Linked DNA regions of Oreochromis niloticus. Each later gene encodes a partner of the first gene's protein in a complex. Links are inferred from orthologs where the notes say so. Each region holds a gene or a part of one and is shown in the gene's direction. Other genes may lie near its edges.

Region 1 (6,961 bases):
TCCATGCCACACATGAACTGAGTATGAACAGGATCCGTGTTTTGTTTTGTTTTTTTCCTCAAGGAATCCCAACACAATTTCTCATTTTTTTCTTTTAGTGTGATATTTTTACGTATTTTTGTAGATGTAACACAAAATATCCAATCCTTCAAATAATGGTAAAGGATCCCTTCAAAATCTCCCAGATCCAGACCTGAAATGATAACCACTTTGAAGTCCCACAGCTGGCAAAGATACACAAACAAACCGAATCAATTGCAAAAATAATCTCTAATTTGTACTTAATAACTAGTTACATGTCCGTTACCTTACCAAACCCCGGTACTTAGCTTATACTGCTGTGTTAAACCAGTGTCATAACCTGCGCCCAGCCTGAGCTGCTCCTTACCAGAAATCCAACAACACATTGTAGGAATCCAGACCTCAGCCCCCGTGTTAGGTCTGTAGTGTGAAACATAATATATTGATGAGCACAGGAGTAATATTTCTGCAAAATAAAATGTAAGAAGGGGCACGGTGGTTAGCACTGTTGCCGCACAGCAAGAAGGTCCTGAGTTCAATTCCACCATCAGGCCGGGGTCTTTCTGTGTGGAGTTTGCATGTTCTCCCCGTGTTTGCGTGGGTTCTCTCCGGGTACTCCGGCTTCCTCCCACCGTCCAAAGACATGCAGCTTGTGGGGATAGGTTAATTGGATAATCCAAATTGCCACTAGGTGTAAATGTGCGAGTGAATGTGAGTGCGAATGGTTGTCTGTCCCTGTATGTTAGCCCTGCGACAGACTGGCGACCTGTCCAGGGCGTACCCCGCCTCTCGCCCTATGACAGCTGGGATAGGCTCCAGCGCCCCCCGTGACCCTGAAAAGGATAAGCGGAAGCGAATGGATGGATGGAAAATGTAAGAAGGATTTATTGTACCTAGCTTGCTCAATATGCAAATACAACAGCTAATATGTGGAGATATGTTGATTTCCTCGTTTTAATAACTCTGTCAGTTTTGTCACGCTCACCTCTTTCCTTCATTTCAGCAAAGTGTTGTTCACATCTGAACGTTGAGCTCTGACAGGATCATCTCTGTTTTCACTGGTGTTAGCAGAACAAAGCAGAGGAACGAGAATAAAAGCAAACATTATGGTCAACCATTCAGCACGGCACTGTAAATGAAGCTTCAGAGTTTCTGCTGCACTGGTGCCACGTGATTGGCTAACTGAATAACTACTAGCACAAGCAGGTGTTCCTAATAAAGTGCTACTTGAGTGTACAAATAAAAGAAATCTTAAAATGTCTATTTTCAGGTTAAACTGTTTCTATATGTTTTAAGTAATGATACAAGTAGTTTACACTCCAAGGGGGTAAACCTGCTTGAATAGGAAATGGTGTTGGTAGAGCTGTAATAGGTTGTGACATCTGTATTTTTTTATTTTGTGTGTTAAGATTGTTTCCCTCTTTCCGTTCTCCTGCTTGTTCTTTCCTTTTATGGATCACTAGGAACAAAAAAATCCGTTCTTTGTATCTCTGTTTACTTTCTGATGTGGAAGAAAGAGTTTGTCATGTCATCTGTTTCATTTTAGAGTTTAAATGGCATGAAGCTGCCTAAAATGATGTGTTTTCCACAATATATCACAAGACTGGAATCTCTTGGTACTTGAATGTAACTGATATTTTATATTCTAATAAAAAAATGACTCAGAGGCACAAAAGTTGCTGTCTTCTGCTCATTTCCAGCTATTGCCTTTCCCAGTCGTTTCTGACTCGGTGTCATTTGAGAAAGACCAGGATTAGACCTGTTGCACACTGTAAACATTGACAGCACTGATAAAGAGGCCCAGCCCTATAAAAACAGATGATGTTAAACACGTGAGGCTGTTACATGTGTTGCATGTGACCAGGAAGGTGTATGAAAACGTTTGCTTCAGCCTGATCCTGTTCATACATTAATTGTAATATAGGTATTGATCTTACACAAATTGTTTTTGTACAGTGTAAACTGTATTTGATAAATATCAGATATAAACATTTTTCCATCTGGGCATGAAATATACAATTTTGCATTATTTGTATTTGAAATAGTTCAGCTAGGTTCCCACTGAAGAGAGATTCATGTTATTAAATGAAAAGTAACTACATGTGACACTCTTTATGACTATAGCAACTAGCTGGCTAACCTTAGCTTCCTTCTCATTGACATCAATAGCAAAAGTGCTATCAAAAGCCAGACCAGTGCTTGCTTTTTGTCCTTGTGTGGTGTTAACTGGTTTTTGACATTACTAATTAACAGACTCCATTTTCTACCCAAAGGTTAGCTGATGATCTCGCTGTTAATGCTGTGAACAGAAGAGTGGTATTCAAACAAGGTTCCCATGAACGAGCACAGCCATCTTTAAACTTTTTTGCAGAAAATTCAAACTGACTCACTGATGTAAAGGTCACTACAAAGTCCCAATTTTTTTAGTTATATTACAAACCCTTTAAACTACAAATAAAAGAGGCTTGATAATTTATTATTAGACTTTTTTTTTAATCTATTGCTGCTGTAAGGCCCACCAAGTGTAAAAAGATATATGCACCTTCCAGAAAGTGTAGTTGACATGGAAGCGCCTTAAATATGCATTCTTTCTAACGACCAGCAGGGGGCGACTCCTTTAATGCAAACACACTTCCAGAAGTTTTTCCTTCCTTGATCTGTGCCCTCAGTAAACTCTTAGCTGGTTGTGCTAAGCTTGTGAGCACAATCTGCTAATTTTAAGTCATACTAAAAAACAACATGAAGTTTCCTCTTTGGCTCATGACTTGTTAATCATAAGATGGCAATTGTTGGCCTGTGGTGTCCACTTTTTTCAAAATACCAAGATGGCAACAGCAAAAACAAAACACTCATCTTGAGTCACCAGCGCTTCACTACCCAATGGGTGATTACGATGACTACATCCATCTTTTGTATACAGTCTACAATAAGGCCTCACATTTCCAGCTTGGTGCTTGAGGAATGTGAAGCTTCTGGATCCTCTGATAGCAAACACAGCCAATAATAATTGCAGACATCAGGTGCTGTTAGCTGCTGACAAGTGTGATTAATTACCATTCTAAAAGTCATAAACCATAAATGATTAAAGACAGTGGTTGTGAGACCCGCAGACAATGAATTTAGTCATGAGAACCTGCAGCCTTGCACTAATCATATAATAGATAGCATTTCTGTGTCAGCAATTTGAATTAACACAATTAAAATAAGTGAGGATCTAAAAAGAAATTTCAGCATATCTCTTCAAGTGAGTCCACAGGGAGGATTTCACTGGTACAAGTCTTCAAAGAAATGCAATTAATCAGATTATGAGGAACGAGATGGAAAGTAAGGCCTAAAAGTTGGGATCAGCCAGGATCTTGAGTCCCGGCATGGAAAAAGGGGCCTCTAAACACAAATAAATGGTAGAACCCTCCACCTCCCTCATACAATTGGAGAGAGTCCTGGAGAGGCCTTCGGTGACCCCAGTGATCACTAGGTTTTACTCAGAAAATGTGCTTAAAAGTAATTAAAAAAATTAAACATCAATAGAGAAGAAAAACGATCAAAAAGTAAATCGAAATGACCGTAGGCAAACATAAAATACAGGAAAAACAATAAACTAGAAACAGATTTTTCTAATGTTGCATTTCCGTGTTTTGTTTTTTGACTCCCTATAGTCCTTGTGTTTATGTGTGGATTTCTTTATTTAATTATCATTATTTGTCTCTTTTGTGGCCGATTTCTGTTTCCCTGTAGTCATTTCTCGTCGGTTAAAAAAAAGGAAAAGAAAAAGAAAAACTCTGAGGGCCCGGTTCTCAGTGTCTGAAACTTGAATAAACTTGTGTACGGCTCACTTCCTCGACATTTTGTGCACTGTGCGCACAAGGCTCTGCCGACACGCTGATTGGACCGCGGAGACATCTGGGCGGGTTATCCGTTACACCATGCGTGCTACGATTGGACGCGGTGTGATAGTGGGAAGTTGCCGTACGCCGGTGTCTCCCTGGTTGCGCAAGACGCCATTTTGGGGTGACAGTGAGAGATAACGGAAAGATCGAGAAGCTGTCGTTTTAAAGGTAATAACCCACATAAACTCGCTTGTTTTTTTTGCTGTAACGCCATTTATTGTACGGCGATTGTCGCACGGTACCAGCGATTCGATTTAGTTTCGCCTGAGCATGACGTCACGAGGTTCTTTCTCAACTGTGACGCGGCATTTAGCTAACGGCTGTTAGCTTAGCGAGCTATCGTGTATCAGATCTTTTAATGTTCACGCCTAAGAAACCAGGCCTCAGTTTTGCAGGTGGATTTCGTAGCAGGTCATCGTTAGATTTATTAATAATATATACTGTAACCGACAGTGGTCAGTAGACCGTAGACGAACGGTGTCGCCTGCTCGTCGCAAGTTAGCATATGCTAGGAAAACTAGCTATCTGGCTGAAGCATCCGCCCTTAGTGAAGCGAACTGTATCCTGTTTCGAGTGCTGGTAACCAGGTAAAGAGAGAAAACTTCAGACTTTACACAGAAAATCTGCGCGTTCACATAGCACAACGTTTCAGCCTTTATTGACACATACTGATATGAACTTTACATTAACTTAGGTTGACCTTATGGTTGAAAGCTAGCGTCTTGTGACGGCTCACTCGTACAGAAACATTATCCTAACCGGCTATTGCAGAGTTTTCTAGCTGGAACAGGCCTCTCTTATCTTTTCATCAGTTAGCTATTCGCTTTATCCACGGTTGTACAGCTTAGCCTCAGGATATGCGATTTTTCTGCTGTTAAATAATTGACACATAGGAAGTTTTAACACTTCTGTAGTGTAGAAGTTAATGGCTGATGTTGGTCGGCCAGAGTTAGCTCTTAACTTAGAGTCGTAGACGAAAGCCTCAGTCATTCGCTTGTGTAAACATTTAACTTGTTCTCCTCCGTGTGTCTCACAATGTACCTCGTTTTTTCGACTAAATATACAGCTGTCATCGAACTGCTCTAATGTGGTGTACCTCTATGAACTGACTAACGATAAAACGATGGTAAATCAGTCCAGATGTCAGCTGTTTTCTCTGATACATTTTCCCTGTATTCACTGCCTCTCACCATACTGCACTGAAACAGATTAACAGCAGACCGTACACTGCCTTAACCCTGTCTCCGTCTCTGCTTTGACAGCTTCATCACCATGGGGAATGTATTTGCGAGCTTATTCAAAGGCCTGTTTGGCAAAAAAGAAATGAGGATTCTAATGGTGGGGCTGGATGCGGCTGGAAAAACAACTATCCTATATAAACTCAAACTCGGAGAGATAGTCACCACCATTCCCACCATTGGTATGGACATTTACATCTATCACTCCACTGTCATTATTGTAAAGAAGCTGTATTTTTAGACTGCTTTGAGAAGATGTTATTAGTTATTTCCCATTGTTATTAGAGAGGACAAAAAAAAATCCTGTTCACCAGATCTTCAGGTCTTTTAAACATCTGACTGTTAATTTGTTTTAATTACAAGGGATACACTGTTACGAAATTTAGGGTCATGACTAATATATCTACTTTTTGGATTTTCTTTTCTTTTTTTTATTGCTATTTACTTCTTACTTTGTTTCAGGGCAAGTAATTAAATCATAATTAAAATTAATGGATCTATTTTAAAGTCTGTTTAAAAAAAAAAACTTAACCAGAAGTGATGTGGTAAATATTGGCCACAAAAGCAGGTGAATGCCATTACCAGTCCACTGGGTGACCAATCATTTTGTAGCTTTAAGCAGTTAAGGTAATTTTTTTTGTGTGTGTGTGTGTGTGTCCAAGTTTAATGCGTTTTGATCTACAGCAACCAGATGTTTCCTTATTTCAGATTTTCTGGACCATTTCATTTTAACAATGGTTTAACAAAGAATAAGTGATAAAATGAGAGTAACTGAAGACCGTTTCTTGATTAAAATGCAGTCATGAAATGTTGACTTTAAAAATAAAGTCATATTAGGAACAAACAGTGGAAAAAAAAATAAAAAAAATAATAAATCGTAGAAATCTTTACCTGCGTGTAGTGTTTGCTGTCGAGTGGTCCAAAGCCTTTTAGTGACTCATCTGTTTCCTCTCCTTTTTTTTTTCTTTTTTTTTCCCTTTCCTTTTCGCAGGTTTTAATGTTGAAACTGTAGAATACAAGAACATCAGCTTCACAGTTTGGGATGTGGGCGGTCAGGACAAAATCAGGCCGCTGTGGCGCCACTACTTCCAGAACACTCAAGGTGAGGTGAAAGGGGGTGTGCAGTGGCATTATCTTAGCTGGCAGTTGTGTCAGTGAGCATTACTGCCCGTAGGTGGCCTCGTTGGTGCATAGAGGATATTAAAGAGACCAATGACTCACATGCCATTGTTCCATTCTCAAAGGGCGTATTGTGTGACTCCTCTACTGTTTCCTGATGTGTAACTCATCAGAATGTATAGGCCTATGCTGTCTTGTGTTTGCCACTCATGATCCGGCTTGTAAGCAAACTAAGTTGAACATTTTGTGGTGTCTTTAATCTTCAGAAATTAATTGTGATTGAAGCCACCTTATTTGCTGCACTGCCACCAGTGCTCCTGTGGTTTCCCTGCATGCATTAGATGAACGTCACCTTCCACATACTGAGCACCCAAGTGTGAAATTGAATGTGTGAATCATTTCAGTGATGATCTAAGACGCAGCATCATTAAACAAACAGCATGTCTGACTACAGAATTTTCTTCTGCAGCAAACAAGGAAAGTTGTGTTTGGGCTAGAGAGCCGAGTATTGGTTAATGATTTCATGATTAAGGTGACAGAAAATTGTTCTTTCCGTTATTTTTCCAGGCAAAAAAGATTAAGGTTCTATGCAAAATTAGACCTGCGGACCATCTCAATCTAGTCTGATGTCCTTAATGGTCTAGCCTCTCCCCAAGAAACGTTTTAAAAAAAAAAAAAAAAAAAAAAAAAAAGACA
Region 2 (7,757 bases), on another chromosome or scaffold:
GAAATCCCTTCTTCCTTGCCTGGGCTTCAAGACACAGAGTCAGATAGTTTGATGAATGACATTTCCCCGCAACCTGCTTTTCAATGTGGGAATATGAATGGAGAACATGGATGTTCTCCTCCTGAAGGGGGGATGATAGATCAACAGGATCCTCTTGGTTGGACCACACAGCCTGAAGGAGATGTTCCACTGGAAAATCACCAGCCCGACTTACCTTATGACATGGAAAATGGTGACGGGAGTGTTGACCTCCCAGGCCCTGAGGATTGTCCATCATCTCTGCCCCTTCCCCTCTCTGAGGACTGCTCCTTCCAGGATTCCTCAAGTGAAAACTCTTCCATGTGCTTCAGCTTGAGCGAATCCCGCTCAGAGTCCCCTCCACCAAATTTGCCCTTGACTAACGGGGACGCTGATGGAGAAATGCTGGAGACTAAGAAAGGGCCAAAGAGAGCAAACAGGCTTGACCCAATCCCTAAGCACAAACTGGGGGGCCGGTTCAGGCCTCGCACTGACAACAGGCCCGAAAACGGCCCCTCGCGCATACCCACCCCCGTCAGCTACAGAGACCTGCAGGCGAACAACACTCTGTCCCCCTGCCACACCCCACCGCTGTCTCCTCAGAGCTCCCATCCTACCAGTCGCCAAGCCACATGCAAGGGCCTGCACCAGGCCTTCGCTGATATGATCCATCCTCATCCTCGTTCCTCAGCCATGGGCAACAAAGACTGCGCCTACCCTACACAGTCAGGCAGCGTGGACACTGAAGCTTGGATGTAGCACAAAACGAAACTGTGGGTAGTACACGGGAGGGGGTTGTTGTCATGAACTTTAACTACTGTGTTTAAAAAAGAGAAAACAAAAAACCCAACAAGATAAAAACGGGCTACAGACAGTTTTTACTGCATGTCAAACGCTCCTTTTTTTCTCCATTTAGGTTCTCCCCTGAATAACTGCAGGGCTTCACATTGCTTTTTTTGCACTCAAGCCAAATTATTTATTACCAAAGGAATGGTCTTTATGTTACTGTAATTTTTAATTTTAATGTGTGCATGGGGATGCTTTTGCCAATCTTTTATTTTTTTTATAAGTCACTAGTGAAATTCTCACAGTTGATACACAGAAATAGAAAGAGAGAGCATATGTGCTGCCATGTGCCTCACTAAGGGGGCATGGTAAAGTGCCAGGGCTTTAAAGCTGCAAGTCTAGAAACGATGTAAACACTAGTCCTTGAGTCATGCAGACTGGCTCCCTCTTGTGGTTTGCCATAGCACTTCTGCTTGCCTTATAGTGAAAATACTGGCATGATGACTGTGATGTTTTCAGTCTGTCCACATTAGTGGTATTCATATATGACTCACTATACTCACATTACAGTAATCAGTAACATAGACTAAGGTACACCCATCTCTGGCTCTATGAACATTATGCACACTACCAGTTTCTGTACAGTTGTTTCATGTTATTATTTAACAGTGTCAGCTTTTCATAATAATAAGCTGTTCTAGACAAGATAGATGCTTTTTGTTTGAATGCTTAATGTCTTACCGGTTTTTAAGATTTTGTTTAATGCAGTAAAATTTTAAAAAGTTTAATTTAAATGCATTGAGTGTACAACAAAAATATGAGGAGCATGGGGGAAGGTTATATTACTTTATATAGTTGTCGCTGACATTTTAAATATTGAGTTCCTCCTCTGACCAAACTGTACTCTGGAATTAAATGCTAAGGAGAATGAATGTGTAAATACATGCTGAGAGTGGGTATTTTGTAAAGACAAGGCTTGGAATATACAGTCTAATGTACATATTCACTGTATTCAGTTCTTAGCTATGCAATACTGGTGTTGAAAATGCCTTGAAAATTCCCTTTGCCTTAAACAATTTTTCACAGGTTACATTTTTTTTTTAAATGTTTTTAGCTAAACATCACTAAAATCTGTTAGGTAACACTACATTGCCATCTTTAACTGTTTATAATAATTAGAAAGTTTGGGTGTGAATGTGAAGGAGAAAAAAAAAAGCATTACCAGCCAGTTTCATTTATAAGTTATACCCGAGGTGGATGTGCAAATAATGAAAACCATATATATGATGTATTTCCTCTGAATTCCCTCGGTTGTTTATCGCCTATTTAACAGATGGATTTCAATAATGTGGCGCAATTTATGGTGACATCTAGTGGCAAAAAAAGAGAGAAATGTTTTATTCAGTGGTAGAAAATGTTGTTTTGATATGATACTGAAATGTCCTGGTGCTGATTAGAGCCAATAATGGTCTGGTATGACATGGTAAGGTTTGATAGATGAAGACTGACTGGCTTTAACTCGAGTGTCTGCATGTGTGCAGGGGTGCATGAATAATGGATGCTGTAACTGGATACTGAGCCTACTTTGTGAAGCTCTCACACAATTGTCATCAATATGACAAGCCAGACTCCAGCTACAGAGCCTACATTACTAGCTTTTTGGTATTTAGCATGTGTTGAAGGGTGTAAAGTTGGAAAGCGGTATACTGTTTAGTGGGCTCCAGAAACCATAGAATCTCAAGAGCTTCTGGATTTGAGCGAAGGAAAAACTGATATTAATATTTAATGATTGTTTCCCACACAATGTGGAGGCAAGGAAAAGAAAATGTTGATAAAATTGTTTTTGCTGGACACCAACAGAGCATGGCCTGGGAAAGGAGAGTGTGTATATCTTTGTGTACATACTGTATGGGAATATGTACAGATTTGAAGTAAAGAGGGAAGTAGTGCTGGTCTAATTTATTTATTTATGAAATCATCTTTCATGGGCTCAAGTGACATCTGTTTCCCAAGTTCGAGACGACAGACAGAATCAGTGGAAATGTTGTCAGTTAAAAATGAGAGTGATTTGAAGGCAAAGTGAACTTATTTATGTGTCCCATCTCTTAAAGATACAGTAATTTTATCATGCGCTGACTCCTCACTGCTACAAATGATTCATGATGTATCAGTATTGTTAAAGCGACATTGATTGCAATATGTAGCCAGTGGGCAGTTTAGCGTGTATAAACACATTATAACATGTACTCTTAATTCTTTTCATTTTACATTTGTTTTGGCTTGTTCGAACACGTATTTGGTGTTTTAAATGTACAGGCTAACTGAGCCATGACTTCTACAATCTTAAAACGATTGATTGTCCTAATCCGCTCTTTCTGCCTACACGGGATTTTATGAAACGCTCATTCCTCCGTATCCCCAATCAGCGAAATCCGAATGTTTGTGATCAGATGCCATTTTCACTAAAACTTTGGTTAAATGTACAGATTGCTTGACATTGTGGAATTTTTGTGTATGAAATAGCAATACTGCAATGTTTCACTTTTTTTTTCTGAATTTGAAAATGCTGTCAAGTTGTTCTTGTAATAAATCTTTTGCTCTGAAGCTTACGATGATGCTCTGGTCATTTTTTCATGTGTAGCTTTTGGCACAGCAGTGACTGGATTTTCTGTGCTACAGCGCATGTTAGAGAAAAGCAAAGAAGTGCTTCTGTTATTCTTCATGCACAGTGTTACTCACTATATTTTTGTACATAATAAATAATTTGTTGCATAAGTAAGACACGACTAAATATGGCAATGCGTCCTGCAGATTTTGCTTTGTGAAGTTCAAAATGGAGTTAAAATGCTGCAGTTGTTTCTCCTCACAATGTGCTTGGAAGGTTCAATTTTTATTACTATTTATTTGGATAAAATAATTCAGCTAATCCCTACATAGTCTTATATAATTATAGATTCAAAAATATTGTAAACTTGTGACGTTTTTGTATTAAACTTTTGTTATAGCAAACCTTCCAGTGTTTAGTCAGTCTGGAAATTAGAGCCCTAGGAGCTAGAGCCCATCCCAGCTGTCATAGGGCAAGAGGCACAGATAACCATTCACACCAAGAATTTAAAATCACCAGTTAACTTGACAAGTCTTTAGACTATAGTACCCAGGGAGAGAATGCAGACCATTCAGAGATGACTGGACAGCAGGACCTTTTTGCTGTCATGCAACAGTGGACCAAAGTGCTATCTTTTTGTAGAAATTAGTATTTGGTAATCCTCATTTAACGCCTCATTTATGCACATAAACACTTGCTATTTCAATACAGTATAAACGGATACACAAAACACTGGCATAATATTATCAGTTGAAGGGTTTAGGCCATAGATTTTATTTATTGTATTTAGGTAGTGTTTTATCAGCTTCCTAATAAACTCAAAACTGGGTCTCACTTTATTTACACATCCTTTGCTCTTACGATAACTGTCTGAATTATTTATTTAGTGAAAGTGAATATTTAGTTACCTACTCTGTATGTAGATTTAAGTAGCCGGATTGGAGCTGAAAAGAAAAGCGCACAGCGTTGACAGAGTTCCTGAATTTCTTTGTCTCATTATGACCAGCCCTGTATGAATGAGAGCTGACGTTGCCTGCCTGTTGTTATTTTGTTAAAAGACGGAAGTAAATCAAGTAGGAGGGGACGAAGGCCATCACAGTAACTGCTACGCTTGTCACGGTAAGATATTTGTGCTTGCTGAATTCACTGTATGGCGAGTTTAATTTTAACGCCAGAAGGTACGCTAATTCGTTGAGTAAGGTCTTAATTACACCGACAGATTAAGAGCTTAACTATCCCGGCAAAGGCTTCCTTAAGTCCCTACTTAGAAGGTCATGTCTCAGCTTTGCTAGCCAGAGAAGTGGTCAGGCGCTAGCTGACACTGACAGGCACACTGCACCAGGCTGCTATCCTTTAGCATTAGCTTCATTCATCTACTCTAACTGCTGCAAACATGCAGGAGTGGGCAAATCAGTTATGCGTGAGTAGTGGATTGAAATGCACTGTTAAATGCGCAACTATCGGCTGCAATTTAGCTCATTTTGGGTTAACTACTCAACTAAGTGTGCCTCCTTTCGTACACACTCGAGCCAGCTATGCTAATGCTGCTCTAGCCTAATGCTAGCCAGCTAGAGAACATTTTCTCAACTTTGTGTTTTAGCTAGCGGTATAAGTTAACGACAGCTTTTGTTAAATACTTATGTTGTAAGATCAGAAGCTACGTAAGAGTACACGAGAGTTTCGGTGTGAATTTAGCTCGGTAGCAGTGTGCTTTATCGTACAAACGGATCGTAATCGGCTAACGTATTGCTAACTACGTCGACAGTTGGGTTCGGTTTTGGTTAACTTGTGGCTAGTTAGCGACTTGTCGGATGTCGACTGGTACCTGAAACCCGGTGCTCTAGTTAATGTGTATTTCAGTACCATTAATAACAAGTTAGCATGTCAGTCTAACAGAATTCATTCATAAATGTAGACGTATTTTAAAGAGACTAAAGGGTTATTTTGCGGAATATTGTGAAGGAAATTTCTCTCTGTCTTTCTGTGTTCTACCATTTGACTGAACTGAATGTAAGTTCGATTAATGAAATCTTTATGGGTTTGTTTATTCACTGCAGAAGTATTTTTACATATTTGTAACACAGTAATAATAGATATTCAGTGCATAGTCAAGGAAATACTAACTTTTTTCTATATCAGAAAGACTTTAAAGAGACAAATTCCACATAATGTTGGTATGAACAAGCCATATATATGTTAAACATATACACTGCTGTCCAGTGAAGCTACTAGGTGTAGGTGGTTGAGTTTAAATACCTGACGCCAACCTAAACATTGGCCAGTGCTTAAGAAAGGTGAAGAGGATGGTGCAGGCAGGGTGGAATGGGTGTAGTTGAGATGTCAGGGCTGATTAGTGACAGAAGTACTACAGGAAGAGTGTATGGTGGGACTGACAAACAGGCAGGAGGCCAAGCTAAAGGTGGCAGAATTAAACGTGGCTTTTCATTTAGATTGACCAGGATGGATAAGATTAGTAAAGAGTACATCAGAGGGACAGCTCAGGTCGAGCAGCTTGGAGTCAAAAGTTAGAAGGCTGAGGTGATGTGGATGCATTGGGAAAAGGATGTTGAATATGAAGCTTCCAGGCAGGATGAACAGACGGAGACTATAGACAAGGTTTATGGATGGAGTGTGTGACAGGAGGATACTAGGGATTGGGTGAGATGGAGGCAGATGATCTGTTGTGGAGACCTCCTAAAAACGACCAGCTGTCCATGAGCCAAAAATGTCAAAATTTCATGTAAAAACACAGGTTTTATTTTTCCAATAGTATTTTAATATTTTACAGTTTTCTCTGAAATCTGTCAAGCAGGCATCTTTGTACCTTAAACTTAAAAAAAATAAAAATAAAATGAAATGGTGCCTTGAGGGCAACGGGATGAGGAAGTATAGCTAATGATACCCAAAAGAAAACATTGAATGTTGGCTGACAAGAGTTATTGTTGGCCCCATACGTGCTGACCAAGATTATTATTATAATTTTTTTTTAAAGAGGAGATATTAGTGTCTGATTTCTTAACAGAATCCATTGTTTTGATTTCCGATAGATCCCTACCATTTGTTCAGGAGAAGACAGGAATTCCTTTTATTTCCCTGTGCTTGCATTTCTAGTATTTCCTGTTGTTCTCGTGATGCTCCAAGTTTCCAGTCAGGAAAAGATTTCGCTATCATCTTTCTCATCCTGTCATTCGTTTGCAGGAGAATCGACAATTTGGATCCAAGATGACGGACTCCAAGTACTTCACCACTACTAAGAAAGGTTTGAAACTTTGTTCTTTAGAAGATTTAACATGGTAAACTCCTTAGTGTGAGATTATAATTATTGTTGTTGGTACCTACACATTATATTTATGCGAGTGCTTTGGGATTTATTGTCATTGTGAGCTGGGCTGTGCCAAATTATTATTTTTACCAAAGGGGACCTAACCTTTTCCCAGGTTGTTAAAGTAATTAATAGATGTTTTTTTTTTTCTCTCTGATAAAACTAAAGTTTTGTAGATTCCCAGTAAAATGATTTGGCATGTATTTACTAACTTCAACTCTATGAAGCCAAGCACATTTACTTGTTTCAAGAGCATGCATATTCTGGTAGAACTAGCAATGTTACCGAACTATAAGTTAGATGTAAGTAAGGAAAAAACAAACAAAACAAAAAAAATGTACCTAAAGATGTCATCTGACAGCTTTGTATCAAAGTTGTTCCCAAGAACAAGAGCTTTGGCTTTTGTATATCAGATAAGACGTAGTGAGAATTAGCTCTCAGTGAGATAACTGCTAGGCCTCCTTGTATTTCAGCAGCTCCCCTCACACAATGTTGCCCTGGGAAAGCCTAGAAGCCCTCTTTGTTCTCACACACAGGGCTTAAGAAATATAAACAGATGCTTGTAAATGATAGTGTACCAGACTCCTTGGTTTTTAAGGATTACCTGAGACATAAGAACAAGTTTCCTTCAAAATGTTCCCCCCTGTGGATCTGCCTAATGCTGTGTTGTGCAGTGTGGAGCTCACATGCAAAAGAGACTTTGAGTATTAATTTGCCTGGGAAATACTTAAGTCTGCAGATTCAAATTTAAGCTTATAATTTGCAGTTTGCTTGCAGTGTGTAGTTTGTACCCTAATTAGGCAGCTGAGTTAGACTGCAATAAAAACTAAATTAAACGTGATTCTCAAAGATTCTCAAATTAAAAAAATAAAAATATTCTGTGTACAATTCAACACAAATGGGCAAACACACTCCTTTTGTGGTTATATTTGACACACACTGTATACACTCTGCTTTAATAACACTGTGTTCTTTACTGGCTTTGTGTTTACACAAAGTCCTGCGTTTCCTCATCTCTGCACATGT
Region 3 (7,804 bases), on another chromosome or scaffold:
GAGTGTGGATTAGAATGCTCTGTGTCGTACCCTACTTCAGAAGTCAGCAAAAGATGCCAAAATATGCATCAGGTGCGTGCATATTTCAAGTACTGTTAAATATTGTGTATGTGGGGTCAGTACAAAACCACTATCTAGATTCTAAAGAGTGCTGTGCCCATCGTGCCACGTACAGTTGCCTTGGTAACATAAACCACTTTATCCTAACCACTGATTTTTCTGACTGTGAAAACCTTTGCTCTGAGGTCTCTCATACCAGAAGTGTGTGGGCTGTTTAGTCATTTAAGTCATGCCAAAAAAGGCCCCACAAAAATATATTTAAAAAAAAAAATCATCTGCAGAATCTGAGCTCGGTGTTGCATCTGAGGTGACAAATTAGCACATCGTTTTCTTTTGCTCTCTCTCTTTTTTTTTTATATTCTGTTGAGGGGAAAAAAAACAGAAGCCAAGTTGAATGGATACTGTGAGATGTTATTTTTCTATGAAATTATCTTTTTTGATATACTCAGGTTTTCTTGATAAGCCATTAGGAGGAAAAGCTACAGTCACTTCACGCCATTTTGGTAAACACACACAATGGATTAATGTTATTTAAATGTTAAAGCAATATTACGTTGGTTCTCTACGGTGGCATTTGGAGACACAGACTGTTACAGCTGTTATTTGTTAGCACTCCATAATCATTTAAAGGTTGATGCCATAAGTGACGTCATTCCTCCATTTGTACCCAGAGGAACAAAGCAGAGAAATAAAAAGCGTGGTGTTCCCTGTCTGTTTGTTTGCAGAAAGGCATTACAGCAGCCAAACGGACATACTGTATTCTCCCTCCAACGGCCATACAGTGTTGCTAGGTAGCCTATATATAAGACTTTTTATTTATATTTATACATATATATATATATATATATATATATATAAAAATAAATAAATGAATGTTTGGCAATATTCTTTTTTTTTCTTTCATTTCCTAAGTATGGCTGAACTGTAAACACACTAATAAAACTGCAAATAAACTGCTGAACCAATTTCCTCTGTAGTCATGATGGTTTTCCTTTCCTCGGTCCACATAATGGACAGCAGATGGCAGCAAAAACATAGACAACAGTATTTTTATGTGAAGTGGGATTTCACAAGATGAAGGTGTGTGTGAAAGAGAGAGAAGGGGGAAATGCAGTCTGATATTCAGATGCAATATGTGGGTGAGATGTCTGTTAATAAATCAGATGTAAACTCTTTAACTAGTGGTGAATGAGATCCACGAAGAGGCTGAAATCTCAGCATTTCCCGCAGATCAATCATTTATCCAGCTTTTTGCGAGAGCATGCATTTTGCATACAGCCTCACTCCTCAGTGGAGTATTAACTGTACAGTGAGGCAACCTCACCTGTCCAAGCTGCTGTGCAGGGAGAGACGCGGGTGAATTTACAGAGTCTTAGCTTAGATATGAGCACTTAAGCACTGACACTAAAAATAACAGCGCTCTGAGGCCTGTCTTTCTCTCGTGTTGTCCTAAGCCGCATCCTTCTGTTCAAATCAGCTCAGATGCAAAATGGAAAAAAAGAAAAGAAAAAAACGGCAGTAATAACAGCGCTGCTTTGACTTCAGCTGCAGGAGATTGTCTTATAGAAGTGGATTAAATCACGACTTCAAATATAGCATTTCAAATGTTATAACAGGGAGATATTTGACACGACAGAGGCATGTTTTACGTGCATTGTGTTGCAGTGCAATACTGCAACACAATACTGTTTTCGTACCTGGACACCACGGATTCAGGCGCTCAACAGGGTTCCTGGAATGCGTAAAGCTACAAAGACGGAAAATGAGATTCTCGCAGTATTTTCAATATAAAATGTCTTCTTTGCGCTTCTTTGTTGAAAACTGCATTCCTAAATTCACTATCTGACAAATGTAATAGGACCTGTGCGATTTGAGGGGAAAAATGAATGCCATTTTCTTTGTGCTGCACACTGTAGAGGTATGAATAAAGGTGTCGCTTTTGGATGAAATGGGTCGTTAGTATGCTGAGATATCCTGGTTTAGAGATAATTAATTAGCTCTTAAGTTGCGCGCGTTTGTCTCAAAAGACTGAAATAATGACCAAGAATGACAGACGTATTATTTACCAGCTGGACTAGTCATTCAGATTCCTGCAGAAGACAATTAACCGACCCAAAGAAAATTTCTTTCTCTATCTACTGCAAAGAAAGAAAACCTTTTTGAAGGCATGTGCATAATACTGCTTAGAAATTTGAAAGCAACGCTCAATCATTACAGTATAACATGGTGCTGGGCTGGGTGAAGGATATCAGATTCTCATGTCACCCTCGTAAAAATTGCTTTTGACAGTTTGATCTGAAACAAACGCGAATAGTCCACTGGAGGTCATTTTATAGGCCGCAGGCAGTGCTCCCCCTCATGTTCCTCAAACAAAGGAGCAGATACTGGTCCTTCTGCTGCGTTGAAGTCCTTCTACGGCCCTGTCCAGCTCTCCTTATAGAATCAGAAAATTCCTGGTTATCTCTTCCACAGTCTTGAGACTGTGAAAGAGACAGCAAACAAGGGCTGTAGAGCCTTGCCCCCTCCCCCCCCAGTTGCCCTCCTAACTCTTAGGAAAGCTTGTATTATTTTTTTTCCCTGTATTTATTTATTTCTATATTTATTTTGTATTTATTTTGTGGAACTTCGTTTTGTCTCATTTATACCTAAAATATTGTCTTTGTTTTCTTACAAGATACAATAAACAGTTTTAACGTTTTTTTGTGGATATTTTGTTGACTCCATTTACATATAGGGGATTTTTACATACTTTGCTGCAGGAGCTTTGAAACCTGAATGATCTGCAGGTACCATCTTATGCTACCATCCGACACTGGCAAAACCCTAAACCAGGGGTCGGCAACCTGCGGCTCCGGAGCCGCATGCGGCTCTTTAGTCCTTATAGTGCGGCTCCGCGTGGTTTGGGCAAATAAATTAGAAGTATTTAGCTGAAGTGTATTTTATTTATGTTAGTTCTTTTTAACTCGTAGTTCTAAATTGGAAGATTATTGTGACATTGAAATATAAAAATAAAATTATATTCTATTATTTATTCATCGCTCAATATGAGCGTCACGCTGGCGGAAGCCGGTATACCCGCCTAAACGCCGTGCATTTATCGAGACTTTCAACCCCAGGTAGGCCAATTATGGATCTTCGGATCCACATTATGTCAGCAGCTGTTCTCCACCGTGAACTATGTTAAAGACAAACACCGCTCACGCCTGACAGATGACCGCTTACAGTCCTGCGTAAACTGACTTCGTATAGCCCCGATTTGCGGACTCTGTGCGCAGAGGTTCAGGAGCAGAAGTCCCATTGTAAACAAATCACGGCAGACCCGACGATGTTTCCATGAGCATGCTTTTGAGCATCTCTTTATTGAGCACTTTTCACACACGGTTGCTGTACGCATACAGCCGGCTGTAGCTTTTCAGCTCACAGCCCGACATCACCACCAACAACACAACAGCACAGACAGCGCAGACGTAAAGGCAGCGAGGCGTGATTGCGGGTGTCGCAGGTGCGTCCGCCTCCCCTGCAGCGGCGCTGCAAACCACGCCCCACCGCACGCATTAACCAGGTAAAATACATATTTAGGCAGAATTTTGCAAATATCTATTTTTCATTTTTCAGCAGCATAGAGCTTTTTTCCAATTATTTTTTTAAGAGTCAGGTCAAGGCTCCAACAGCCCAAAGGCGATATAAGGTTGGCGGCTGACAACAGTTTTTGTTTGCTACATGGATCATTTTAGTTCAGCTGGGTGTCTTTCCTTTTGTTATATTTCTTTAAGAGTTCAAAATGTGTTGATTACATAAATATAATTTAATTTTCTCTGTAGCACTTCATGGATTTCATAAGCAGCACACCTTAGTTGTTCACACAAAGCATAAAGATAAAAAACAATATATACAATGTTATCTTCATTTTAGATGTCAAAAAGTATTTGCGGCTCCCAGTGTTTTCTTTTGCGTGGAAACCGGGTCCAAATGGCTCTTTGGGTGTAAAAGGTTGCAGACCCCTGCCCTAAACGATCTGCAGGTACCATCTTATGCTACCATCCGACACTGGCAAAACCCTAAACTAGAGTCAAATCCGTCAGGAGAGACGAAGAGAGAGGAATGTGCTGTGACCACCATCAGCAAAATCTTTTCCTTTTTGGGGGGTTTGGCCTCTGCAGTGCACCTCTGGCACTTTCATTTCCATTACGGCAGGTGAAATGGATCCATAATATGTTTCATAAGTGGACAGTTTGAAATCCATCAAGTTTAACTGACTGTGTGATGCGTAAATTTTTATTTTACATTTTTTTAAGCAATAGATAGATTTTTAGTTTACACAGTTTGGTAGCTCAACCTTTAATATATTTTTAATCAGTGCTTATTAGTTGTGGAAGTTGTGGAAATATTTAGCCATTGCATCGACTGTTTCATTTGTTTGTTGTGATCTTGTATGAAAATCAGCGCTGTGTAGCTTATACACTCAGGACATCTTAATTTATTAATTTGCGCCTTTTTTAATAATTCATGTTTGTTTTTGCCCACAAATCAACTGATTTTCACCCTAAGTCAGTACTTTATTCTCGACAGTTAGTCCTTTATTTTGAAAACCTTGCCCGGAAGTTACTTCCTTATTTTCGCCTGCTTGTCTGTGATGCGCTCCAGAGGAAAAGGCGCACGCAACGCTGCGGTTCAGACGCGCAAGGAGCGAAATCCTCTCTGTTTCTGCGCCACCTCAAAGGAGACTCAGCGCTACTCCTGCATGGATTACCGACCTGCTGCCACTGAGAGTCAGATAAGTAGGAAAGGACGCTCCCTTATCTTTTCGACCAATTTCAGATTTTTTTCCGCAAGCGGCAAAAACAAAAGTACAGTTTTAAGATTAAAAACAGCCATTAAGACTTTAGGACAGCAGAATCTTGCGGTTAGGTTTTAGCCTTTAAGAGGTGACAAGTTTTATCTTGAAGATCAGTATTTATGAGTGCATGACGAGGAGGTAAAGTGCATTTTTCTTGGATGAAAAGACGAGACAGATACTTTGGGATCTAGTTTGATTTTTTGTTTTGTTTTGTTGTGTTTTTTTAATAACGGGATGTAGTTTTGGCGGACCAAAGGGGAGGATTCGGACTTCAAGAATGAACTTCGTAAACCACCTCTGCTCACTCTCTGTGCTTTAAAGACACATCAAATCATGGGTTGAAAGCGACGATGACAGACTGCGGGGATATTCAACGTGGGAAGGAGCAGAATTTTCTGTGTTATGTAATGATTGACAGCGCCTAATAATTAGTGGTAGATCAAAACTAGCGTATCCCCCCTCTCCCCCACCCCCTTTCCCCCTGTATATCGATGAAAACATAAAGTGTGTTTTTTTTAATTAACCAAAAGCTGATGCCAGAGCTTTTAAAGTTAATGAGCAGTGTATGTCACAGGTCAGTGGATAAATTCATATTCTACTTATTCTTTTTCTCTGTCAATCATCGAAGCAAGTTCATTATCAAACTCTGAAAAGCTTAAATTAGACCAGACTTATGTGTGTCACTCCCTCCGCCTGGAAGTCTGTTTTTAAACATTTTATTTAGTAAATTAACATTAACCATGACGCCCCAAACTCTTTACCTGCTACGTGTCGATTTCAAAATGACTGGGACTTCACGAACTCAGACACTCAACAGTGCCATGAACTTTTTTTTTAGCTTCAAATTCTCTTCTTGGCTTTGTGACGTTTTCAATGGCTACTAAGATGTTATAATGGTAAATTTTGCCCTCATGTTTGGGGATATGTAGTCGCTATGACATTCTCAATATCTTAATATCTGTGACTTCCTGTTTCTGAACATCTGAAGCCTATAGTTAATCTTCACCACAGCCTTTCTTGGTCCCTCCCTCCCCCCAACTCATCAGGGCTGGTGGGGAGGGTGGATCTCGGCCCCACGGGGTATAACCTGTGGCTGGTGGTGGTTGTACCCTGAGAGGAAGGGCTCCCACCATGGATACCAGCCCAGAGAGCCCAAACCGGGCAGTGGAGTACCTCCTGGAGCTCAACAACATCATCGAGAGCCAGGCCAAGCTCCTGGAGACGCAGCGCAGGCGCATCGAGGAACTGGAGGGCCAGCTAGACCGGGTCAGCCAAGAGAACCAGGACCTGAGGCAGGAACGCAGCCCGCGTACCCCTGGAACGGACACACCCGAGCAAAACTACAACCACAACCAGCCCCTGTCCCTGCCCATCCATCATGGCAGCGGTGCTGGTGGCAGCGGTGGCAGCGGGAATGGTAGCACCTCAACAACTCAGGTGATATCCGGATCAGCTACAACTCCAGCGCCCGGCAGGGAGAGGAGGACCCACACCAGGCTGACGCGAGGTCTCTCCTGCGGCTCCTCCACCACAGACCGACTTGAACGCACTGACAGCACAGACACCAACACCAGTTCCACCTTGCGCCGAAAGTAAGTTCTCCTCGAATACACGGGCCTCTTCTGCTGGCTTTATCTTCCGCCTGTAATGAATGTCAATAATCTTGTCCAAGTGGCTCTAAATTATAGTAATGACCACAGTCTGCGTGATAGCTAAGAGTGGCAGAACATTCATAGGCCGACATGATGACAGGCTGTACGAAGCATCAGCTTTTTTAGCCATCAGAGATAATCCTCGCAGTAATGGGACTGAACCTAAGATGGGATGTGTTAATACACCACCATGAGGAAATATGCTGAGTGCTGGAGGATTATGAGTGGAGCGATAAGTGCTCAAGGTGTGTATTTCATCATGCTGTGTATGATTCTGCCTGCAGAGAGGATGATTCGTGCACTGATCTCCGTCTTAAATGTGAATCCTGTAGGAGTTGCATAGTAGTATGCTGAGGAAAACTTGGGTCCAGGCAGGAGAGTCTTATTTTTTTCATAAAGATCTGAACTTTCTAGACAAGAGAAGCATTTCTGGATGAAAATCCACCCACTGTTTGCTAAAAGTGTGTTTTTCTTTTCTTCCTCGCTCTGAACTGTCGGCTGCTTGGTCTCGAAGAGAGTTTTTTTCCCCCCAAACTCAAGGCTGACCTGAAGTTAGAGTGCTGCAAAACACAGCTTTGGCAAACAGCAAGTGCATCTGTCCTTGCTTTTACTTAACCACGCACACACACGCACGCACACACATGCAGATAGAGTCGGCTTTTGTTCTGGAAGCATTAAGCTTTGTGAGTAGGCAGCAATTCATGTGAAAAAGCTCACTGTGAAATAAATTGTTGCAGTCTTGGTAACAGAAGCCGTTTGCTCTTGTGCATATGTATTTCTCAACACGCAATCATCCTAGCAGTTATCACTGGATTTCGCTCACTGTCTGAGTTGTTATGGTCCCAATCCTCTTATCAATGATTGACTCAGATTTGACTAAATCCCTTATCGATTAGAGTTGTCTCTGGTCCCTTCTCCTCATCCCTAGGGGCGACTTAGTCATTAGACAGAAGCACATATTAGTTATTTATGTGGGTGTTAAATGCAGTGATGAATTGCAAATGTAGATCTTGCTGATTCTCCCTTGTTAATTGCCTGTAGCCATTGTAGCTGACTTTGGATCCAGGCTCAGACAAGCGTATCATATGAAGTGCCACATTTAATAAATAGTCACCCGCACAGCAGAGCCATATTGTGCTTGTCTGGCTGTGACTCAGTCTAACCCAAAACTGGCCTATTAGCTTAGGTCAGCGACAATACGCTCCGCTCTGATAGTGGATCAGATACAAACATGAATTTCTCTATCGTCAGTGCC
Region 4 (6,938 bases), on another chromosome or scaffold:
CCTCTTCGTCTCTCTGACTCTTAAATTTCTACAAAATTTCTACTGCGCCACACACACACAAAAAGCACACACACACCTTGTCACCAGACCAGGAGCATAAATATTTCAGGGCCTGTCGTGTTTAAAATTTAACACTGCACTAGTGCGTGGCTGGACAAACACATACTGCAGATTCACCAAAGTATTCATTTTGAAACCTCCAGCTCTGGAGTTCCTGCCCCAGAACCTTTAAAAAACCAAAAAAAAAAAAACCCAACCCCCCCCCCCCCCCCCCCCCCCCCCACAAAAAAAACCACAAGAAGAATCAGCAAACATGTGTTCACCATGATTTTGATTTAAGTGCAGGAAGCAAAAAAGGTGCACTGTTCAACCACCTGACGACGATATATCTAAGACTTCAACTCTCTATGGTTTCTACTCATTTCACATTTGATTAAGCTACAAACCTTACGAAGTGAGCTCTTAGCTGCCTTACAAAGTTTTTTATTCGCTAACATAGAGCCTAATGTCTGAGCCTACATCCAGAGAAATAGGCCAAAACAGCCTCAACAATCTGACGCATGACTGCGAGTGATGAAGCTTAGTAGGAAAGGAGCCAACGAGTACCCTGGAACCACATGTCACCATATGATTTCATGAACTATTGATCATAGCTCAGAGAAGGGAAAAAGCTCTCATTATCCTGAGGCAAGGCAGCCAGAGCCAATGCATGACAGAGAAGTGGGAGGACAGCAGGGCTTCAGCACTTGTGTTAGTATGTTAATGAACCCAATTAATTATTCACTCTCTTTGCGTCTGTGTGGTCAGCCTGTACCATCTTCCCATCAACACTGGGTTCTTTTAAGTCTGTGCAATGAATTAAACCAACTAAAATAGATTTTCTTTTTTTTAAATGTGGTATTCTCTGAGAAAAAAAAAACGAAAACGAAAACACACACGCTTTCCTTGTACTGTGTAGAACCGAGCAGTCACGGATATATCACTATTAACAAGTATACTGTCTGAGGTTAAAGAACTACAGGTCTAATTCTGGATTAGTCTGATTCTGACTCAGAAAATTAGATCTGTTATTTATGACAAAAGGCTGATCTATTTAGTTCAGCTGTATACTGCTCTGTTTTATACTGCTAAATATCAGCAGCAGTGTACTGGTGGCTACTGAGAGGAAGTTAACAGCAAACTACACCAAGTGAGACGACCCGTATAAAAAGCTTAGACGACTGTGGCTTTGGCTTCTCTTTTTGTTGTTATGTTTGTTGTAACACAACAAGGTGTTGTCATCTATCAATTACTGCTATTTTACTTCCTGCTTCTTACCAGCAACATAACACAGTTGTGTGTGTGTGTGTGGATGTGCACAATATTGACTCTTAGACTGATCTTAAATTAAGCTTACTGTAAATAACTTACAGGATTACCACAAATACGTGGGTTCAATCACTAGTTTAACATCAAACAGAATACACCATAATGTGCATTTTGTAAATTATCCTCATTTAACGAGCATAATTTATAATGTTCTTTGAATGAGCAATGATATTTGAGGGCTTCTAGTTTCCAAATATGAAGATTTGCTCATGTTATTTGTTGTGTATGACAAAAAAAAAAATGATTTTAAGCTTTTGATGGACATAACAAGGACACTGAAGATGTTACTCCTGGTTTCAAGAAACTCTAAATGACGTCAGGAGAACAGAATCAACTTTTGGAGATCCAAATGACAGTCCATTTTTTTTTCTCTTTTAAGCATTTCATAGAAAATACTAAAAGCAGCATTAAATGTTTAGATTCTCAATCAACTGCTCAAGAAATAAACCCAGTTTGGCTGGTTGATGTTAAATAAACAAACAAACACTCCTTTAGCTTATTCGTGGTATGCTCCAATCAAACAATCAATGTTAAAACAATCAATGTGGTCATAATGAGACTGAGGGAAGCACCTCGTGATTATTTTAATTATTAAATAGTCTTATGTTTTTGGTCCATTAATGTTAGAAATTTCAGAAAAGAGCACAACTTGATTGTTTTGTTGAGTACACCTGATATGAGCGGAGGAGGACAGGCCTTGAAATACCAAGGAGCACATGATCACATGAATGCTCTCATTATGACACAACACTGTGTGAGCGTAAACACAAGACGTCTTCAGTCAGACGCCTAAATAAAGCCGACAGCACAATAAAAGCAAGGGAAAGGATGTTTGTCTCTCTTTTTATTCTCTGTTTTTACGTTCCTACATAGCATTACATGATCAGGTGATCAGTTTTTTACATTATCGTCTCCAGGTTGGCAAATTAAGTCAATCACTCTAACGTAATGTCAAACATAAAAGAAAACATACGCAACATCTGAGCATAAGTTGTTTAACCAGGGCGTAAATGTGAGGAAATGTGTCAAACAGGTGGGAATTTAAAGGGGTCGGGGGATAATTATAACAGAACCCAGCGACCCAACCTGCTTCAGTTTGAATAAGCGCCAACACCTGGAAGCCTAGCCTCATATCTTTTAATGTTATGTCACTTCTGCCAGTCAGAGTGCGGCAACATTAAGTGACAGTTCAACTGAAACCGAGCAACCGGAGGACGGGAGGGTTTTGCCAACAGCTAATTTAAAGTCGCATTATCAGAGCAGGTTTATTCAAACCAACCCTATGCCAGTCTTTCCTAGCCACGCAAAGCCACCCAGTCTTAATGTAAAATGATACAGCAGCTAAAGTTAAAGTGGCTAACGTAGCCTGTTAAGGTTACCTGAAACGGGTTGCTGAAGTCCGGGTCCGCGAAAGGGTTGCTGTCGAAATCTGACATTGTCCAAAGAGGACGACTTATTCCGCTAAATGTGTCTTAAGGCTAATATTTATAACCAAAGTCGGCGCACAGTTAAAAAAGACCAACTGTTTCGAACAAATTGTAATAGAAAAGACAAGGGGTGAAGTCAAATGTTGACTGTCCAGGTGGAGGATTGGTCACCAGCAGCGGAACACACGTGACATAACGAGACGTAAGGCGGAAGTAGGGAAACGTCAAAAGAAAAAAAAATCCAAAAAGTTAGTTTTTTAATATAATGTTTTATTTAGAAAGAATTTAACGCTTTACTCGCACTAATTTTTACATTTTGTCATAGAATTGTGACATTTTATCTCCGATTAAATGTCAGGTCGTACATCGACTTATCTAAGTAAAACGAAAGAATTAAAAATATCCCAAAGTTATTTTTAAAAATAATATTACTACTTGGAAAATGTTTGATTTATTTTTTTTTATACCCGCACTCATTTAGGCTTTTTGTCGTAAAGTTGTCATATTTTATTACACAATAGCACAAACTTCAGGTAAACTCACTTTTCCTGAAAATATCCTGGTCTTGGCAAAAATGTTGCTGTTTTGACCTTGTGGACTTTATCGTGATGCTTTGGCTATTCAACATTGTGGCTACATCTATTTTTTTGGCCGTCTTTTTAACTTACAATTATCGGCTTCCGCAGCATATGGGTTTTGTAATAATTTATTGTTAAGAATTTGCAATAGTATAGTCCAGTCTACAAGTGACAAACGCGAGAACTACATTTTTAATAACTTTGAAACGGAGAAAAGACTCAATTTGAGGGTCTCTTCTAGTTGCGATAGATCTATGACCTCTCTGCCTCTGAATCCCTGTCATGTGACGCTCACTTGTCCAACTCACACTTCCGCTACTGCGTGTAAAAAGTTGGGTGATACATTAAAGAAGTTCGCTTTTGCAGGAACTTTAGCGTCAACCTTAAGTTAACATTATCACCAACTTTATGAACATTTCATAGCTCGTAAGAAAAGGCGAGTAAGTTTTCTGTGTCGGCCGTTTGTCTTAAAGCTTAGCATGTCGACGGGAGCCTCATACAACGACCAAGGAGGAGCGGAGGCTGCGGTGGAAGCGGGTCAAGAGAGCACCCCGACCTCCTCGAGCACCGGAGCTGCCTTCGGACTTTTCAGCGCCGACTTTAAAAAGTAAGCTAGCCCAGCATGTGTTCCTTTTGTCGTCACGGTGGTTGGTTTATGGCACAGTTGGGTTGTTTTTGTTGAACTCCATATGGCTAATTTCCAGTGTCGTAGTCTTGAAAAGAGGCCAGTAGCATCCACAGGCAGGGCAATGGTGGCAAATGACGGTTAGCGGTTTATAGCTGATGGTAGTACCCAGTATCAGAGTTATAACTTTTCAGGACTTAATCAGATCCGTAGTAGTGTATTTTAATACAGGCACTTTCCCCAGGGAGGGGAAATGGTTCCTGGGTGCAGACATAGAAGCAGCCCCCTGTCTCTTCTGCAGTAAGCAAAGTTGAGCGATAAAATGGGAAGACGTGGCTTGGACGTGTTTTGGGTTTGTGGTCACTGAGCTTTCCACTTTCTGGTTGGTTTGTCCAGTTGCTTTGCATCTCTCTGTGTGCTCAAGGTGTACTTGTCTTGCCTGTTTTTTGCTGTTATTTTTTCCATCTCGTGGTTGTTTTTCATATTGTAGTGTACAATTTTTGTCACATGTTTTGTCATTTTTGCGATCATTTTTTTTTTTACCATCTCCACCTGATTACTTTGTATTTTACTGTGATTATGAATTTTGGTGGCCCTTTTGTGTATTCATCTCTGTCCGCTCAATGCGTGTGGCTTTGTGATTGTTTGGGTTAGTTCAGTAAGGCTCTAGTCATTGCAATCACTGCACAGGGAGAGCTTGATAAAAGATCAACTGCAGTGGCTTCATCACAGAATCTTCAGATACCGTCATTTATTGTGAAACAGCATAAAGTGCTTGCACGTTTTTAAGCGGATGCTACACACTTCCCTGTTAAAAGGGACGCCCTCCTCCCCACTGTCGCCAAGTGGGTGGTTATAGTGGAACACCTGATCGTTGGAGTTCTCTTCCAAATCTTTCAAAGGTTTTTTACCACTTTAGAGTTTAAAGCACTTTAGGATGACATCTGCTGTGTGTGCTGGTTATAAATGAGCGAGCGCTGGGACACACGTGTAGTCCTGTTGCTGCAGGTGGATTGTGCTGACCCTATTACACAGTGGTCAAAAGGCTTAAAGAAAATGTAGAAAACTTCATTTTTTTAATGCTCATTAAAGCTGCTGTTATTCAGCTCTAAGCAAGTAAAGGAAGCCTTGGAAAGATAAGTTTGCTGCATTTCTTGTCTGTACTTTTTTTTTTTTTTTTTTTTTACCTCTTTCTGTCTCAACCTTTATAAAACTGTAGCATATGAGAATCTTTCCATGTTTGATCTACAGTTCAGTTTACTGCTGTATTAACTGCTTTTTTAAAAACCATTGTTTTCCAAATGTCAGTTATCAGTCTATACTGGGCCTGTTGACTCGTCAACAAATAAGATGGCCTTTTACTTATATCGTTGATCTTTAACTGTTGGATCAGTTTTGTGCTGCATAATGCATAGTTTATACTAATGCTGTAAATCTATGTAGAGCCTATGATGTAGCCCACATAACTGCCCCATTTGCAAACATTTATTCCTGTGCTGAGAGTAAATTATCAAATATGGAATGATGACAAAATGAAAAGTTTAAAAATGTATTTTTTATCATGAGAATTTCTTTGTTTTCTTGGCAGAAAAAAGCGCAATAACTAGCAAAACATAATATACCACCAAAAAAAGGAAATACATACTGACCCAGAATTTGACAGTCAGTACATTTCTTTGTAAGACCAGCAAATGGAGAAATGCTAATAAGTTGCCTTCATAAGCTTGTAATAAAACTGAAAGTGGGTTGTTTGTTGTGTTGCTCATGTATTTTAAGTTCCATGTCTGCATTCTACCACTAGAGGGCAGCCAATAACCAGTTTAATCATCTTTTGACTTTGGGAATTTCTTGCAAATTCTGTGACTATGCATCTCAGTTGTTCTAGTGTAACAGTCTGTGTTTGAAGGTACATACACAGGGTACCAGATTCTCTGGTCTAGACTTCACTGCAGTACTTAAAATCTGAGGAACTCAAACTTGATTTAGACTTACGCATTAAGCCTACGTCCTTGAGATGTAACCGGAAACCCCTCTTAACCCTACACTGCATCTAGTACGCTTTAGTAAATTTCCTACTAAAGCATATGTCAGGCCTCAGTCTGTTAGTAAGTTCCATGCATTCATAAAAGTGTTGGGTCACAGTTCAGCTGCTGATTTGATTTTAAGCTTTTCCTGCAGGAACCGTCCTCATGTATCTATTTGCTTTTCATGACTGATGTAGATCTTGGTTTTCTGAAATGTTTCTTATTAAGTTGAAATAAACCTTAACACTGTCTCACATGATCATCTACCCAGTTGGGGGAGGTTTGGTCATGTGTTTGGCCACCTCAGGGCCAAGCTGAGGGACCAGAAGAATATGCAAGGGCTTGAATGATCCTTCTGTTTGTATGTCTGTCGGACACAATTCACAATGACCAAGTCTGTGAATCCAAAAGGCATTTTGTGCTAGTGCATAGATCTATGTCTCATATTAGTGCTGCACGCAAGGCTTGTCAACTTCACCATGTCCATGCTTGGAGAATACATTGCATATTTGGTCATTAATGTTTTAATAGCTGAGGATAGAGTCAGTTCTTTTAAAATTAGATCCAATTTGGAAGTTTAGTTGAAATTACTCAATGTGTGTTGCACGTGATGAGAGATGTAACTTTGCTCTAATATGTTCTAGTGTTTAAAGGGCGCTTGTTTCTGTTTGAGAGCTCTGTGCTAGGGTTCAACAAATCATAGAAACATATGACTAATTTATTATCTGTGACCTAAGAGATGTCTCACTGTGGCCGAGCAGTTTGGTTGTATAGACTTATTGTATTTCTCTGTGTTGAAAGCAGTCACAAAAAATAAAAGGAATGATGGATTTAAATGGAATTATACTATTTTCACTTCCCTAAGCATGGGAAGTGCTGGAAGATTGAATTTTGTATTTGAGGCTGGTTGTGCATG

The links.
Region 2: the proteins of arf2b (region 1) and ap1b1 are in contact, whole or in part, in a cryo-EM structure (PDB 7R4H), measured with the Homo sapiens proteins. The link is inferred for Oreochromis niloticus from reciprocal best matches to the Homo sapiens genes ARF1 and AP1B1. Residues at the interface, in NP_001019397.1 of Homo sapiens: Glu17, Met18, Tyr35, Ile46, Thr48, Ile49, Gly50, Phe51, Asn52, Val53, Glu54, Thr64, Trp66, Lys73, Leu77, Arg79, His80, Tyr81, Gln83, Asn84; in NP_001118.3 of Homo sapiens: Asn23, Asp25, Pro52, Asp53, Val55, Asn56, Met58, Gln59, Met83, Ile85, Met86, Ala87, Val88, Asn89, Thr90, Val92, Lys93, Tyr121.
Region 3: the proteins of arf2b (region 1) and iqsec2b are in contact, whole or in part, in a crystal structure (PDB 6FAE), measured with the Homo sapiens proteins. The link is inferred for Oreochromis niloticus from reciprocal best matches to the Homo sapiens genes ARF1 and IQSEC2. Residues at the interface, in NP_001019397.1 of Homo sapiens: Arg19, Gly24, Leu25, Asp26, Ala27, Lys30, Thr31, Ile46, Pro47, Thr48, Ile49, Gly50, Phe51, Asn52, Val53, Glu54, Thr55, Thr64, Trp66, Asp67, Val68, Gly69, Gly70, Gln71, Lys73, Ile74, Pro76, Leu77, Trp78, His80; in NP_001104595.1 of Homo sapiens: Arg810, Gln811, Gln841, Arg845, Val846, Gln847, Gly848, Glu849, Ala850, Gln851, Val853, Glu854, Glu858, Asp879, Phe882, Ile883, Phe886, Ala887, Ile889, Leu890, Asn892, Thr893, Asp894, Tyr896, Ser897, Pro898, Ser899, Val900, Arg904, Met906.
Region 4: the proteins of arf2b (region 1) and ap3b1a are in contact, whole or in part, in a cryo-EM structure (PDB 9C5B), measured with the Homo sapiens proteins. The link is inferred for Oreochromis niloticus from reciprocal best matches to the Homo sapiens genes ARF1 and AP3B1. Residues at the interface, in NP_001019397.1 of Homo sapiens: Glu17, Arg19, Tyr35, Ile46, Pro47, Thr48, Ile49, Gly50, Phe51, Asn52, Val53, Glu54, Lys73, Ile74, Leu77, His80, Tyr81, Asn84; in NP_003655.3 of Homo sapiens: Glu52, Asn54, Pro81, Val84, Lys85, Val87, Ala88, Asp111, Leu112, Leu114, Leu115, Ile117, Ser118, Thr119, Gln121, Arg122.

Annotation. Positions count from the first base shown.
Region 1 is NC_031973.2:4,380,009-4,386,969, reverse strand, and holds the start of arf2b (ARF GTPase 2b), read left to right. Parts: upstream 1-3,922; 5' UTR 3,923-4,076; intron 4,077-5,170; 5' UTR 5,171-5,180; coding exon 5,181-5,328; intron 5,329-6,137; coding exon 6,138-6,248; intron 6,249-6,961. UniProt on the Homo sapiens protein: Small GTPase involved in protein trafficking between different compartments. Modulates vesicle budding and uncoating within the Golgi complex. In its GTP-bound form, triggers the recruitment of coatomer proteins to the Golgi membrane.
Region 2 is NC_031977.2:18,689,374-18,697,130, forward strand, and holds the start of ap1b1 (AP-1 complex subunit beta-1), read left to right. Parts: upstream 1-4,701; 5' UTR 4,702-4,802; coding exon 4,803-4,829; intron 4,830-5,396; exon of another isoform or gene 5,397-5,419; intron 5,420-6,607; coding exon 6,608-6,668; intron 6,669-7,757. Other genes in the region: gas2l1 (GAS2-like protein 1), read left to right, coding at 1-777. UniProt on the Homo sapiens protein: Subunit of clathrin-associated adaptor protein complex 1 that plays a role in protein sorting in the late-Golgi/trans-Golgi network (TGN) and/or endosomes.
Region 3 is NC_031984.2:10,742,411-10,750,214, forward strand, and holds the start of iqsec2b (IQ motif and SEC7 domain-containing protein 1), read left to right. Parts: upstream 1-4,697; 5' UTR 4,698-6,028; coding exon 6,029-6,489; intron 6,490-7,804. UniProt on the Homo sapiens protein: Is a guanine nucleotide exchange factor for the ARF GTP-binding proteins.
Region 4 is NC_031972.2:12,628,569-12,635,506, reverse strand, and holds the start of ap3b1a (AP-3 complex subunit beta-1), read left to right. Parts: upstream 1-3,842; 5' UTR 3,843-3,852; coding exon of another isoform or gene 3,853-3,980; intron 3,981-6,938. Other genes in the region: secretory carrier-associated membrane protein 1, read right to left, coding at 2,748-2,804. UniProt on the Homo sapiens protein: Subunit of non-clathrin- and clathrin-associated adaptor protein complex 3 (AP-3) that plays a role in protein sorting in the late-Golgi/trans-Golgi network (TGN) and/or endosomes.